Linked DNA regions of Oryzias latipes. The protein of the gene in region 2 interacts with the protein of the main gene of each other region in a biochemical or structural test. Links are inferred from orthologs where the notes say so. Each region holds a gene or a part of one and is shown on either strand. Other genes may lie near its edges.

Region 1 (4,247 bases), on a different chromosome or scaffold from region 2:
ACTGCTTGGAGCCACAAATGTTGAGCCACAGCAGGAACCAGTAGGACGGGTAAAGTGGCGTCCGTCTGCGAGGACAAATCTCTGCTTTCCTTTCAGCTCCAACTGTGACACACATGACTCTAGAAGACCAGTATTATTGTTAAGATGTATAAAAATAAATGTTAACATATAAAACGAAAATGTAAATATGTACATTTGATATTTATATGAAAATTCTTTTGAGATTGTTAAAAATGGCTCAGATTTAAATAATACATGTAAATAATTCATTTTTGTTACTGCATTTATTAAACAAATTGCAAAAACAACGACGACGTTACATTTTGTGAACAATATTTTAAACTCAGGTAAGCTTAACAGACTCTCCTGTCACTCTTTGTCCCTTCGTGCTCTTTCCTCCTCTCCTCTTTCAACAACAACCTTTACCCCAACATGACAACGATTACAGTTTAATGATAAATAAATACAAATCTGATAAGTGTGTCTTACTCCCATCCGGCACGAGCTTGCCTGATAACAAACAGGCCATCCACAGATGGAACAGATTTTCCTTATCCTCGTCAGTCCCTACATATATAAACACATTTGAAAAATGTGTTAATAACTTATTACTATGGTTAGAACTCACTCATTTATTTATGTAATATCAACAGCGTTTGTTTTTAGCATTCGGCGCTAATTCGCGCTAGCGTTAGCATTACCGAAATTGAAGAGCTTCAAAACAATGTAGATAGTCGATTGAGGAATATAACATAGTAAACACATCATCTTACGTATTTACAAATATATTTTACAACAGATACTTGATACTTTTAAATGTACTTACATTTTTAAGTCCTCTTTCTTGCGCAACCGTCCGCCATCTTCGAATAATTCAAGCGCAGTGTATTGTGGGACACGCAATGAATTCTGGTATGAATGCAGTGCATTCTGGGCAATATTCGCCGATCGAGTGAGCATCGATCCACACTGGTTTTTCGTAGAGAATTCTGGGAAATTTCTAGTGCACATGATTTTTGAACTGTAGATTCGGACAGCACTACAAAATGGCGACCGCACTATATAGTGCACTATATAGGGGTTAGGGCGGTAATTCGGACACAGCCCAGGACTCCCTTGAAAAAGAGGTTTTTAATCTCAACGGGACTTTCCTGGTTAAATAAAAGTTAAATAAAAATAAATATCTCTGCCAAACCACCTGGTAACCAATCAGTGAAAGCTGATTCACTGTGGCGACTCTAGTAGGGAAATGCCAAAACGTGAAGAACAACATTTAGGACAAAACTGGATGTGAAGCCTATCGAGACGACTGTTGTTGTGAATTTGGGCTATACAAATCAAATTGAATTGAATTGATTGTGGACCTGATTGGTGTCTGAACTATTTTAACATTATGCATTTCTCGAGTTTGGTATTTTTCTGAAACTGATGTTGTTATTTTTTTTACACCTATTTTTTCAGAATTTTTGCAATAATCTTCAGCGAACTTTTTAACGATGTCATTCTGTAATGTGCCTTTTTTTTTTCCATTTTAAAATGGAAGGAAATTCTGTCCATCAATTTAAGCAGACTGCCGTTGCACATTCTGAACTCCTGCCAAGTTTTTAGCTTCGGCCACTGCAGCGACAATAATAACAGTAAATTACATACAACCAAAGGGGTTTTAAAAACTGAAACATGAAAGGCAGAATAAAATGAGACCAAACACTGGGGGGCCCAAGATTGGCCCTGGATCATGCCTTGGACACGCAGCAATGGACAACAGAGCCAAACAGGGCTGCACTTCCCCCTCACGCCAAAGGGGGTCACTTTTTCCCTACACGTGTGAGGAATCAGCTGGAATCAGCTCATGGACTCTGGTGTCAGGTCTTCCGTAATCCCATCAGAATGTGGGATTCTGTGCAGAACTGCTGAATGGGATGACATACGGATGGAGATAGAAAAATGCGCCCCCTCCTCCTCCCCCTCTCCCACAGATTTACTCTTTATCTTGAGTGGCATGGAGGGGTGGGCGCTGCAAAGACGCACGTTGCAAAACAGCCACTCAGTGGTTAAATGATTTGGCATCACTCGTGTGCACGCGCCCACACGCACGTCGTGGACTTCATAAGCCGCCACCAGTCTGCATCGCCGCGTTTCCATCGAATCATCCGTCCGTGGCGCGCAGACCATGGCACTGGCCGACACGGAGCGCACAGCGTCCAGCTGCGGGGATCCAAGCGCCGCGTTTTCAGAGATCATCGAGCTGAACGTCGGCGGTCAGGTCTATGTGACCAGACACAAAACTCTCGTCGCAGTCCCAGATTCACTCCTGTGGAACATGTTCAGCAAGAAGTCACCCAAGGAGCTGGCGAGAGACAGCAAGGGGCGCTTCTTTCTGGACAGGGATGGCTTCTTGTTCCGCTACATCCTCGACTACCTCCGGGACTTGAACTTGGTACTCCCGGACTACTTCCCGGAGAAAAGTCGGCTCCAGAGGGAGGCGGACTTTTTCCAGCTGCGAGACCTGGCGAAGCGCCTCAGCCCGCGGGTGAGTAAGGACAACTCCATCTGCGAGGAGATCATCAACCAGAGCGACACGGAGGACGGCGGGCTGCAGTGCTGCTCCACCTCCGGGGGCATCGACACTTTACGCGCCGCGTCCGTCAGCGGAGCCATGCGCTCCCCGTCCCTGGACTCCAGAAAATCCGGCTACATCACGATAGGATACCGAGGGTCGTACACCATTGGCAGAGACATCCAGACTGACGCCAAATTCCGGAGAGTGGCGCGCATCACCGTGTGCGGGAAGACCTCTCTGGCCAAAGAAGTGTTTGGAGAGACGCTGAACGAGAGCAGGGACCCTGACAGGCCCCCGGAGAGATACACATCCCGCTACTACCTGAAGTATAATTTCTTAGAGCAGGCGTTTGACAAGCTGACAGAAGCGGGCTTCCACATGGTGGCCTGCAGCTCCACAGGCACCTGCGCCTACACCAGCAACGATCCAAACGAGGACAAAATATGGACAAGCTACACTGAATATGTATTCTGCAGAGAATAACCAAAAGGGGGGCTTATTGTGTAAATATAAACATCACAATCTAGCAGGAGAAACAATAGAATAAATAAAAATATTCCTAAATTAGATTTGGGTTTTCCACTCTAGATGATGTGGAGGAAAAGGCTAAAGAAAGTGAGCCTAATTTGAATTGACTTTCATCCAAACCACCACATTAACATGATCTTCATTTCAAAGCTCAGTGTTTTCCTTCATATCTGACTCTGCTGTGAACTGAGATGAGCTTCAGTTAGTATTCAGTGTCCTTTCTATGCTTGTCGGACCAAATTTACCCTTTCAGAGAAGTTCTTTCACTGTCATGATTGTAAGTGTACCTGTTGTGTTGTATTTAGTATGTTCAGATGAAATAAAGTCATTTACTCTTTCAATATAAGCCCAAAAAAAAAGCCAACCATCTTCCATCACCAGCCTTTGAAATCCTGTGGTGAAGTAAGAATTCTCCTCAGACACAGAAATCCCAGCAGTTGTTGTGGTTCTGTTCACTGAACCAGCCTCCACATCTGAATATCGCTAACATGCGAACACAGAAAGAGGTTTTCTTTCTTTCTTTCTTTCTTCTTCTAGCTGAATCATTTTGTCACACAAATTCAGCTGCATGTGCATGCAAATAGTGCAGCTGTGCACACATGATGTCATTATCATTTGAAGTGTAAATAATGAAAGGGTCCAGCTGCACACAAACAGGAGGGTGCAGCCCGCCAGGGCCTGTGGATGAATGGAAGGTTGATAACAGCGCACTGATACGTCCAAACAGGATGAAAAAAAGCTCTAAGACATATAAACTATGGCTGTAATTAGAGGACACGAGAGGTCTGAGCATGCACTTGCAGAGCAATCCTTTGGAGATGTTCCATTCTGCTCACAATAGCATTATTTGGACAGCAACGCTGATTTTAATATCTTTGGACATGTCAGCAAATGAAGGTTAACTTAAACATCTATGACAGTGATGATCAGCTGAAGGCAATTTCAATTTAGATTACTGTGAAATGTCACAGCTCAAATAGAACAGCTTCAAGAAAAAAGCCCATATTTTTAAACACATCCTGCAGTTTCAAGGGAAAACACACCTCCTGTGAGAGAATAACATCATAAGACTCCAAGCAAATCATTATATGGTTGTCAAAAAGAAATGCTCAGTTAGATACGCCAAATTAATTTCAAATTAGATATTCATTTGCAACAG
Region 2 (3,826 bases):
CACTTGCAATAAAAAATTTTGGCAAAATACTAAAATGCAAGTAATGAAAATTAATTTTGTTCAGTGAGAAACCTAGAACAAGAATAATAATTTGAAATATAAACTGTTTTTGGACCCTCTTCTACAGTAAAGTGAATGACTAACTTTCTTGCTCATGAAAGTTTTTATTTCATTTTTGGGTGTTTCATGTTTGACACAGATGCAGCACACTATATTTACGTGCATTTAGAGGATGATGTTGAAGATACAATGGTAAATACATTTACTGGGCTCCAGTTCCTAGTACTTATAACTCTTTTCTGAGGTCTTTATATTTGTCTCTTGGTCCTTTTTACCTTCTCTCCTGCTACCTCTTCCCTGCATGTGATCAAACATTCATGTGCCATGGGAATAGCTCTGAGTGTTGCTTTACTTCTTTTCTCCTCCCTGTCTATTTTCAGAGCTGCTTCCCAATGCAAGCTGTAAATCACTGGTTACATAAGCCTCTGTGAGGTTCTTCCTCCTCACTTTTTGGTCTAAACAGCTTCTGTCTTATTCCATCTTATTCCAGTATCTTCTTCACTCCAACTACTGCATCTTCTTTGTCAGCTGTCCTTAATTCATTTAGCTTTAAGCTAAAACCAATGCCGACGTCTCAAAAATGAATGACCCCCCCCCCACCACCACCACCACCACCCTTTGATGTTAGATCTTTTTGAATGATGAGTAAAGTGGCATGGACATTGGCTGTTTTAATTGTCCAAGATATCTGTCGTTTGAAGATGGGAAATCAAATCAGCGATGTCTATGTGTTCTTGTGTGTTAGAATAAACTGCATTATTTTAAGAATGTAGCCCACATACATACTATTATGGATATGAGTATGTTGATGGATGTGGGAGAGCGAAGTACAAGTCTTTGTTTCACATGGATCTGTTGCCAGAGCAACCGCCTGAGAGCTGCTCATGGTTGTGCTGCATGTTCTGTGACTTCTGATTAAAAAAAAAAAGCTGGCAGAACAGAAGAATAAAAAAAACAAGATGGGAGGAGTATAGTGCTAAAAAAATGGGAGATCTCACTGTTCGGGCGAGTTGATATCCTCCAGGGGACCTCTGTTGATTCGAGAAGGATCCATGGAGCCCCACTGGGCTTGTGGTTTCTGCTCCAGGTGGTTCTTCAATATCGACTTCTCTCCATCTGCAAGGGAGGATGTTTAATAATGGGTTAATCTGTCAGAAACCCTGTTGTACTTTGTTTCTCTGCTTTTATGGACACCCAAGGAAGGAAGCATGCCTTTTGTTTTAACCCTTGTGCTGTCTTGTGGGGTCCAGATGATCCCACTCCCAACGTTAACGTGCCTTGGAGGCACGGTGGCGTTGGGATTGGCGCTGAACCTTTTTTCTTCAATGATTTGTGATCTTCACTGGTGTCCATGGATTACATGAAATCCTTTTCACCTTTATCCACCTTTGTCATGGTAGGGATAACATGTCAATGTAAGGGTGGGGTCATCTGGACCCCACAAGATAGCACGGGGTTAAAGTCCCACGCTGATCATCCTTTGGAGTATTTTTAAGGTGTTCCCTTTTTAGTGCCACACTTGTCCCAGATTTGTCAAGTCTTGTTGGTCCTATTCTGTGATATCAGTGCTCCTTTCCCCAACTGGACATTTGGTTGAACTATTCCAGTGCTGTTTTTACTCTGAATAATGCATAATCTAGTATAAATTCAAGTTGAGTCAGAAGCATTTTGAAAGTTCTATTTTAATTACTTTTTAAATCACTTATTTTAGCCCTGCAACAGCCCGGTGACCTGTTCAGGGTTTGTAACCTTCGCCCAAAAGGAGCTGTGTTTGCTCCAGCAACTCCAAATGGGATTTAGTTGGTTCTAAATATGGATGGATAATTGATCTTAATTACATTTGAGTAGCAGAATTTAAAACATGTTAAAAAAAAATACCAAGCACAAGTGATCTAGCACACCGGCTGTAGATCTTGACATTGCAAGTTAGCTCAGCTAAATTCAATGAAGTGATAGCATTGTGGATTCTGTGTCAGAATTTACTGACACCGTCCACACTGATTCAAATATCCATCAATCTATCCATTTTCCAAACCCGTTTTTCCCTCTTCCAGGGTATCTAGAGACTATCCCAGCAGGGATCCACCTTGTTTGCCAGTTTATCACGGGGCCACACAGAGACAGACCACCACATTCACTCACACCTAAGTGGCACTTTCAGAATCACAAAATAACCTGTCGAGTATGTTTTTTGGGCTGTGGGAGGAAAACCCCACATGCATGAGGAGAACATGAAAACTCAACACAGAAACTAATTTAATGGTGAGTGGACAAAGGCATTAGGACCTGCTGTCTGAAGGTACTTTATACATGAAAGTTTAGCAAACAGGATTTAATTGTGGAAAAAAAGCTAAAATTGTTCACATTTTGGTTTGGGGGTGTGTTCAAGAATGAACCTACTTGTCTGATCTTGTCTATCATGTTGTGAAACAATTCCACAACCCCAAACCTTTTTCTATTTAGGGTCTTGAAATAAACAGAAATTAAGATTAAATAGACATTAGGTTTTTAGGTTACACCAGGTACGCGCAACAAGTACATGTAACACCACCTGTAAGATGTGTAGTGGTCTATTTAACTAGCATTTTACACTAATGGCCTATACACCACACACACAGCACAATTTGTGTTGTCGATTTGATCCTCAAGCCTTATGCCAGATTCACCCGGGTTCAGAAATGCACATTCAAGCGACCACTTGCAATAAAAAGACTATGTTAGTTTATGTAAGTCTATGTAAATGTGTTTTTGGGGCTTCTGCAAGCTTTTGAAATCATTTTCTGGGCTGTACCTGGCCATTGACTGTGCCCTAAAAGGAAAACCAGTTGAACTTTGACCAATCAGGGACTCCGCTTTATCTGTGACTTATAGGTAGTGTCCTTTTTAACCCTTGTGCTATCTTAGATGACCCCACCCTTACATTGACGTGTTCTCCCTACCATGACAAAGGTGGATAAAGGTGGAAAGATTTCATGTAATCCATGGACACCAGTGAAGATCACAAATCATTGTAGAAAAAAGGTTCAGAGCACTGTCTAGTGGGTCTAGATGACCCAACTCCCAACGTTAAAGTGCCTAGGATAGCACAAGGGTTACAACACAGAAGCACCAACCGACAGAAAATTGATCATGGCAGAGAAATAATAATTGCCGTTTGCGCACGCCTTCCAACTTCCAAGTACATGTACATGTGCCAGTATTTGATAGAGACAGTCCAATGTGTAAACCAAGCGCTAAAACCGTGTTTAAGAATGCCCATTTAGTGTCTTCTTGAGCATGCATCACCTTCCCAGTGCGTAGCTTGAATCACAACTGCCGTTACAGTTGGTAACAACCTGTAGGGGGAACACGCAGGTGGCCTATACTTTGTGTCGAACAGTTTACGCTTCTTCATCGTTCCTCCATTACTTCCTCATTTTGAAAAGGGACACCTTGTCAAGCATTATCCCTGACAAAAACGCCACCAGAGTTAGCTTACAAGAAAATCTGAATACTTGATTTCAAGAGGACCAGAATTGACTCGTTCCAGGCAGTTGCTATATGAGGTGGATTATCAATGTAACCCAACTTTCCAAAATTGCCAAACACAGAGGCACACAGCCGTCAAAAGGTCCAAAAGAGCTTTTTCACCTGTTAAATGAATTAGGTGATCCAAGAAATAAACTATACCCAACAGCCTGGTGTAAAAACATTTTTAGGCTAAAATTCATGCTGATTATCACAATAGGAAAAGGATCAACTGAAGTTTTTATGTAACTCCTGGCAC

The links.
Region 1: the proteins of gabbr2 (region 2) and kctd12 form a complex in vitro, tested with the Homo sapiens proteins (2 studies listed by BioGRID). The link is inferred for Oryzias latipes from reciprocal best matches to the Homo sapiens genes GABBR2 and KCTD12.

Annotation. Positions count from the first base shown.
Region 1 is NC_019879.2:8,397,948-8,402,194, reverse strand, and holds kctd12 (BTB/POZ domain-containing protein KCTD12), read left to right. Parts: upstream 1-1,173; 5' UTR 1,174-2,170; coding exon 2,171-3,043; 3' UTR 3,044-3,429; downstream 3,430-4,247. UniProt on the Homo sapiens protein: Auxiliary subunit of GABA-B receptors that determine the pharmacology and kinetics of the receptor response. Increases agonist potency and markedly alter the G-protein signaling of the receptors by accelerating onset and promoting desensitization.
Region 2 is NC_019869.2:9,044,095-9,047,920, reverse strand, and holds part of gabbr2 (gamma-aminobutyric acid type B receptor subunit 2), read right to left. Parts: intron 1,177-3,826; coding exon 1,059-1,176; intron 1-1,058. UniProt on the Homo sapiens protein: Component of a heterodimeric G-protein coupled receptor for GABA, formed by GABBR1 and GABBR2. Within the heterodimeric GABA receptor, only GABBR1 seems to bind agonists, while GABBR2 mediates coupling to G proteins.